Nothobranchius furzeri: one gene and its partner. The protein of the gene in region 1 purifies or fractionates together with the protein of each later gene. This does not show direct contact. Links are inferred from orthologs where the notes say so. Each region holds a gene or a part of one and is shown on either strand. Other genes may lie near its edges.

The links. Proteins that work in one complex are often made in the same cells at the same time.
Region 2: the proteins of rnf13 (region 1) and ap3d1 purify together in Homo sapiens (affinity purification with mass spectrometry; 3 studies listed by BioGRID and IntAct, counting the BioPlex papers as one, with this or other methods). This does not show direct contact. The link is inferred for Nothobranchius furzeri from reciprocal best matches to the Homo sapiens genes RNF13 and AP3D1.

The regions. Positions count from the first base shown.
Region 1 is NC_091748.1:61,627,312-61,631,626, reverse strand, and holds the start of rnf13 (E3 ubiquitin-protein ligase RNF13), read right to left. Parts: upstream 2,869-4,315; 5' UTR 2,671-2,868; intron 1,146-2,670; 5' UTR 1,033-1,145; coding exon 919-1,032; intron 678-918; coding exon 597-677; intron 1-596. UniProt on the Homo sapiens protein: E3 ubiquitin-protein ligase that regulates cell proliferation. Involved in apoptosis regulation. Mediates ER stress-induced activation of JNK signaling pathway and apoptosis by promoting ERN1 activation and splicing of XBP1 mRNA.
Region 2 is NC_091748.1:55,669,240-55,672,890, forward strand, and holds part of ap3d1 (AP-3 complex subunit delta-1), read right to left. Parts: intron 3,305-3,651; coding exon 3,224-3,304; intron 3,099-3,223; coding exon 3,018-3,098; intron 2,927-3,017; coding exon 2,819-2,926; intron 2,661-2,818; coding exon 2,531-2,660; intron 673-2,530; coding exon 533-672; intron 424-532; coding exon 350-423; intron 241-349; coding exon 191-240; intron 1-190. UniProt on the Homo sapiens protein: Part of the AP-3 complex, an adaptor-related complex which is not clathrin-associated. The complex is associated with the Golgi region as well as more peripheral structures.

The DNA of each region.
Region 1 (4,315 bases):
ATGAGCAGTGTGATCATAATGACTCAGAATCACACACGTCCTCATGTGACTGTAACAACATGGTGGTAGATGATGTAAGGAAGTAATGATGTTAAAATGACACCCTTGAAATTCAACAAACAATAATTGTCCAAACACACAGAACTAAACCTCCTCATGAGCACCTAAACATTCTGCTATCAGCTTGACTCTGAGTAAAGAGCCTTTGTGCAGCAACAACAAGCTCTCGACTGTGGGAAGCACCACAATGGCCGGCTTAGATGGCAGACATGAATCATCCTCTCTGTTTGTGAGCTTTGTGCATTGGCTTTTAAGAGCGGTGCTATGTGTGGCAAGCAGAAACTTCACAACAACAAAAACAACAACACAGGGTACTGACACAGCCAACCACACTTCAGGTATATGAATGAATTCAACTTTATAAAAAGCTTTTTTATACGATTTTTTTTGGGGGGGGGGGGGGGGATCAGGAATTTTATGACAGGAAATCAAAAAACTTTCTTGCCTCCCTAATGTACGTCGATGTGGCTAAACCTTGGTTCATAGGAGCTGTAAAGTAAAAAAAAAAAAATACCACCTGACACATTTGCACTCACCTTCAATCCATCACTTGGCAAGCGGTAGCCAAATCGTGCAGGCATGTCGTCAAAGTTCTCAGTTCTGTTGTCAAATGAATACTGAAACACAGGAAGATACGATCAGCTGTGACGCTCGCTCGGATGCATTAACACTCACAACTGTTAACAGTCCAAATGCGAAACACACAACAGTACTTTCAGATTGTTTTGTAAACAAAGCAAGCCGGCTGTTACAGAAGCCCATCACTTCATGAGAGGAGGTTTGACCATCTGTAGGACTGGAACTGCAGAAGTGTATGCATGCATGTCTATTTATGCACCACTGTGACGGTTCACTCACAGCAGCGATATCGGCCTCCACAGGCAGCAGGTTGAGGAAGGCGAAAAGCTGAACGGTGAAGATGGTGTAAATCTGCGTGGCAGATAGCATCAACATTCCCAGAGACAGCAGCATCTTGGCATCACGTTACAAACCTCTGCTTCTGTAGTGCTCGCACACTCTCACACAAATATCCACTCAGACTGTCTCGTAGCAGGGATCCTATATGCCGGCTGATGCTGTTACACCTAGAAAATACAGATGATTTGTTTGCATAAGAACTTTTTGGTTTTGCATTATTGCTGCAAAGAAATTTAAATTAGATTTGAAATCAAAAACTTATATTATGGAAACATTTTTTAAAAATTAGTGATGCACTGATATGAAATTTTTGGGCTGATACCGATATTAAGATCACCGTTATGGCCGATAACCGATATTTGCCGATACCGATATACTGACATTAATGCTTCTAAAATCAGCAGATTTAGTTTAGAAAGAAGATTATTAAAGCTGAATTTACATTATTATGTACACACACCACACACATTTAAGCTTCTGAGATGATTACAATCACTGTCGCATGACTAAACAAATACACACCACCCCCCTCACCCTCTGAAACAGGCAGACAAATGGAGATGAGACAGAAAAAAATAACGGTTGTTAATATCGGCCCGGTTTTATTCATCGAACCGATACCGACGTGTTAAGAAATTACTAATATCGGCCGATACCGATATTGATGCCGATATATTGTCCATCCCTAAAAAAAATAGGTCAAACTTTCAAATACATATGTGTGTAATTTACAAACAGTTGCATATTTTTATTCTTACACTTAAAATTATTCATTTAACTTACTCATCATATTAATAATAACAATAACAATAATGCATTTTATTTATAAGCGCCTTTCAAGGAACACAAGGACACTTTACAACAATAAACAACAAAGAAACTAAGTTAAAAACAGCCCAAAAATCCATAGAAACCTTAAATTATAAACTAGATAATAAAATCAATGTGGTTTGAAAAGGTGTCACAAGCAGTAGGCAGTCTGAAATAGGTGGGGTTTTAGTCTAGCATATTAAATGTAAACATTTACTGAAGGATTTTATCAGGACACAATTTACTTTTAACTTTTTGACCTGTTACTATTTTCAGTGTATTTAAATATACTACTCAATGTATTACATTTGATATAATTTTTTAAGTCTTTTTCAGAACACAGAAACCCTATTTTAGTCTGATTGTCACGAGTAACGATGTGTTATAACTTATTTTATTTATTTATAAATAATCAACACCTTAGTGTTAATTTACTTTTAAAGAAGGACAAAATATGTTTCTGGACAGTCGGAAATACCACGGTATTTAACAGAGGTTAAGAGGTCACAACAAATGGGAACAAGTGATCAGATGATGTCTAAACATCAAGTGACAGTGGTCGCCTTTTCTGAGATAACTCTCTAAGATGATAACAACATGTCTATAGGACAAATAAAGAGAAGATGATAAGTTACAAAACCATGTAACAAGAAATAATAACATTAGTAAACTACCGTTGAACTCTCCCAAACGCGAAAATAAAAACTAAACATTTTACACACGAAGACTGGTTGCAATGATGCTGAGCATTTTCGTGATTTAGCCGTTAATGTTTAGATGAATATACGCAAATACCCTAAAATGTACAACCGAAACAGAACCCAGTCCGTTAGCATGAGACTAGCATTAGCAAACGAAGCTAAACTGTTTCTGGGTGTTTACCTTTAATTCTGCTCGGAGCCTTGTTGTTTGCGTGGAATAAGCAGCTGTCAGCGACATTGCCCTCGTTTACTGCGCGTCATATAAGACAAAACACACCACCTCAAACTACGTGTCTGTAGTTAATTTCATTTAAACAGTTGGTCACAAAATACGATCATAAACGCAACTGCTTAATCCCCACTGCTAGCTATTTTCTTTTCATGTGTGAGAAAATTAACTTCCGCCCCGTGTCACATCAATTTAAGAGCTCTGATTGGATGAGCTTCCTGTCAATCATTTTATTCCGGAAATGACTCTAAACATAAACAGATCCACGTGATATGGAAAAACTCATTTGCTTCAGTTTACAGTCGCAGTCCGAGCTTTAACTGCTCGTTAGCTGCCTACCGGAACATTTAATAGACAGTTATTTTTAAAAAGTTACATTAAAAGTCTATCTAACACGTGTTGTCATCGAGAGATGAGTGAAAGAAGAAAGACAAAATCATGACCAGTCAATTTTTAAGTCTTTCGCACCATCTATAGAAAACAGATTGCAATCTTCAATGACGTTTTGAATCTCTGTGTTTAGTTTCAGTCTACATAATTTTAGAAAAGGAACTTTTATGATAAATATAAATATACAATAAGATTTATACTGGAAAACTGATGCAAAATTAATTGTCAGTAAAAAATGTGTTATAGGGTGTCTTTCACAGATACGTACATCACAAATCAGGACAAAACATTGTAAACAAGGAGGATCACCGACCTCAAAATACTGTAAACAAGGAAAATGTACAAGAATAGAAAGTGGAAATTTGTAAACAAAATCAGAATCATTATAAACTAGGAAGATGTATCAACATAAAAAATAGTAAAGATGAAGGTATAAACATAGTCAAAATTATCTGCACAAATAAATGAGGAAGGCACATAGAAGAGGTAGGTTCTTAAATGTTTTTTTGAACCTCCACACTTAAAAAGATAGTTTGAGAGGCAAGCTGTTCCACAGTCTGGTAACCAGAACGTGAAGCAGTGTTAGACTCCACCCTGTTTCTTCTGAAGTCTAAAATCATCTTTGTTTTGTTCACGTTCAAGGTCAGATGATTGTTTCCACACCATGCCACAAAGCGCTCCACCAGCTCTCTGTATTCAGCTTCCTGTCCATCTCTGATACATCCGACAACTGCAGAGTCATCTGAGTATTTCTGTAGATGACAGGTCTCTGATTTGTACTGGAAGGCTGAGGTGTACAGGGTGAAAAGGAATGGGGAGAGTACAGTCCCCTGTGGTGCTCCAATGTTACTGATCGCCTGGTTTGATGTGCAGTTCTTCAGCCTCACAAACTGTGGTCTGTTTGTCAGGTAGTCTTTAATCCAGGCGATAGTTGAGGTCCCCACCTGTATCTTCTGGAGTTTCTGGCAAAGTACATCAAGCTGGATTGTGTTAAATGCACTGGAGAAATCAAAGAACATGACCCTCACAATGCTGCCCGCTATTATCACTGTCATTAAATTGAAGTTGGACAGATGACTTGAATATCACTTGAACATTCAAAGTTAAAGACTTGGACTTGACTTTGACTTCCACATCATTGACTTTAAACTCAACTTGGACTTGGTTGTATTTTCACTTGGACTTGACTCGAGACTTGACTGGAAAG
Region 2 (3,651 bases), about 6.0 Mb from region 1:
ATGAAGAACAAGAAGGCAATTAGCCATGAAAAACAAACCAGTGTTATAGCAGAAAGATGATGTAGAATTTGAGAGAAAAACAAATAAATCCTTTTCTAATCTATAGAAAACTGACTATTTCTATGAATCTTTAAGAAGCCAGTTAACGTTCAGATCGAATTTCTACCATGTAGCAGAAATTAAAACTAACCTGCAATTACAGTGTTGACACATTCATACAGCAGAGACATGGCAGAAGTGCTGTGAGAAAGGAAAACCGGGTACAAAACAAAGAAAATAGAAATTATTATTAGTTTATTCATTCCATGAGACAATCTATCAAAAAATCTAATGGAGTATTTCAGCTCACCTGTGGATCAGGTTAGTCAAAGGTTCGATAAGCTTCTTCCCCAACCTTGGCTCCAGAGGAGTGAGTGCACCAAACTGTAAAAACAGAGACGTGATCCTTTTGGAAAACCTGACTACATATTATTACTACTTTGAAATTATGAAGTGTTTTTTTTTTCCACTTTCAAATAACCTGCTGACTTACCAGCTTGATGATCTTAATGAGAACCCAATTATTAGTAGAGGAAGTCATAAGTTTGAAGAAAAGTGGGGCCAGAGACAGGTAGTTCTTAGGATTTCTCCTAGCCAGCTCACAGATAACATTTACAGCTGCTGACTGGACACCTAAGAACGAAAAAGAACAAACGCTTTTTAGGGAAGGGTTTCCATTTTAAAAAACAAACCATTTAAACACATAAACATAAAATCTATGTGAAACGGCATAAAAACAAAATGCACATCTTATGTAATAGTTGCTAATTGATCAAAACAGGTCAATAGAAATATTCTTGTTTTTAAAGGTGTGGAAAACTCATTTAATCAATACATTTGCAGGAGTCTAGTAGGAATGAATGTTTTGTAAATTGCACTGGGGGGTGTATACTGGTGAACCGTTTATCTCCAAATAACACAAGCCTGAAGGAGCTTCTGCCATGTGTTGACGTTGCTAATGCTAACGGTTAGGTTCTACTAGCTTTTAGGTCCGCTTCTTTTTAATCTATATATTTTACCTTTGGCAGCTATTTTCAGAAAATTCGGGGTGAATAATCATCTCTATGCTGACGACTGCCAACTGTATGTGGCTCTTAAAGCGGCTGACCCTGTGCAACCACTGACTGACTGCCTGAATGAAATCAAGTCATGGCTTTCTGCCAATTTCCTCCATCTGAACAGCTCCAAACTGGAGGCTTTTTTTTTTTTTTTTTGCCCCCTGCTCCCCCTCTGCTGTGGAGCCATCTCTGCCTCATTCTTTGTCAGTTTTTCTGAAGTCGGCAATTAAAAGTTTGGGGGTCATACTGGACGCCAATTTTAAAATGGATACACAGATAAACCAGATGGTCAGGTCGTGTTTCTTTCATTTTCGCCGGCTGACTAAATTAAAATCGGTCCTTAACAAGAGAGATCTCCACACAGTTGTTCATGCTTTTGTAACTTCACGTTTGGACTATGCTAACTCTCTGTTATATGGGGTTCCATCCTCTTTTCAATGGTACGCCTCCCAATCGGTACAGAATGCTGCAGCGAGGTTTCTAACAAACACAGACCGATGGCAACACATCTCACCTGTTTTAGCAAATTTGCACTGGCTTCCTGTTCAGTTTCGGATTAAGTTTAAAATTCTACTGCTGGTGTATAAATCTTTGCATGAAATGGCACCCTTTTATTTGGCGCAGCTTTTAAGCCCCTATGTTCCGGTGCGAACCTTGAGGTCCTCTGACCAGCACCTTCTGCTCGTCCCTCCAGCTCGCGATAGGGCACGTGGCGAACGGGCTTTTTCAGTTTGTGCCCCTAAGCTTTGGAAACAATTCCCCCTGACGGTCCGACTTGCCTTCCAACTTTTAAAGTACATCTGAAGACATATTTTTATTACCTGGCTTACCCAGCTGAGATTGTTTTACCCTTAAGTTTGTCTGTTATTTTACTTTTTTACTTATTTTTATCTAATGACGCCGCTGTTTTCTAGTTTGGTGATCTGTAACTTAAGTTTTTAAGTGTTTTTATCTATTTTACGCTGCTGTCTTCTAGTTTGGTGTCCTATCGTCTTGTACAGCACTTCGATTGGCGTAGTCGCTGTTTAAACGTGCTTTATAAATAAAGGATGATGATGATGTTCTCTGTTGTTTCCTGGATGCTAAACCAACAACAGCCTTCTCCGTCACAAGTCAAGATGGGTGAGTCCATGAATGCTAATCTACAGTGTGACGTAGATCTGTCTGGATTTTCTAATCCAAGAGATTCACCATCTATTTTCCATCAGAAGCTAATGCAGGATGTTGTACATTTCTCTTGCCAAGCTAGATACTCATAAGGGAATTCCTTTCAGTTTAAAACAACAACAAAACAGCATTGCAGTATCACAGCCGCCATATATCATTTTCTCTTGCTGAATACTTTATGGGATTTAGAAGACAGAAAATAAAACTCACAAAAAAGCTTCTGCAGTTTCAGATTTGCCTCAAATGACAAAAACACTGTAACACACCTGGATCTGGATCCTCCAGTTTCTCTTTGAGCCTTGGAAAAGCAGGGCGCAGGGATTCTGGGTACTTCAAAAACACCTTATACATGATAAGCACAGCTTTCTTCCTAATGTAAGGTTTAGTGTGGGACATCTAAAGTGGAAAACAAAAACAGCCAAAATAAGAACCAGTTGTGTTCCAAATGCAAAAATGTTCACATTTCATCTGTGAGCCTAGAAAAGAATTGAAGACCATGGAGGAAAAGAAAAACTGGTTATGTGGATAAACTCGACATTTCCTGCATGACTCACCAGTGTCATGATGTCATTAGCAAGATCTCGAGCCAGATCAGGAGTCACAAAACAAGAGAGCCCAGTCAGAGCAACACCTGTATCATACTGGTTGGGACTACTGAGATCCTAAGAGAAAAATGGAAAAGTCAATAAATAAAAGTAGGACAAAAAGGTAGAAAGGTATTCATAGGCTGCACCAAACAAGTGCATCACCGACCTTTCGGATTTGATTGGTCGTCAGCATGATGACATCAGTGCTCTCATGGAAGCACTGTGAGGCTGCTAAGTAACCGATCCTCTGCAAGAAGAAAACCCGAGCAGGAAAGACAAATGCACTTTGTTATAAAATAACAGAAACATTATCATCGGTCTGCAGCAGCTGGTTTTCATTAACACGATCAGCTGGTGCACGGGCAGTTATACCTTGTATGTGAACTTCGAGGAGCTCATGACTTCAACAATGTTGAACGCTGCCCAGCTGACATCATAGCCCAGCATCTGAAGCTGTAACACAAACGAGCCACACTGTAAATAATGTCAAAAACACTGAGAAACTAACAGATGTTAGCTGGAAGCTCAATAACTGAATGTAGATTTTAAAAACCTCTTTATAACCAGCAGAAACTTCACCACAAACACTTCATTTGACAGTGTTTCTTTGTCAGACTCAACTGTGTTGTTTCAAGAATTAGCACTTTTATTCTTCATTACAAGTGACTAATTTGCTCCAATGTTCACCAAGTTACAGGGTTTGTTTTCTTGGTAAAACTTCTATAAAATAAAATGCGCAACGCAACTCTATCCAATTTGAGTCAGAAAAAGTCTTAGTGCATCAATAGTGTATGTCTAAC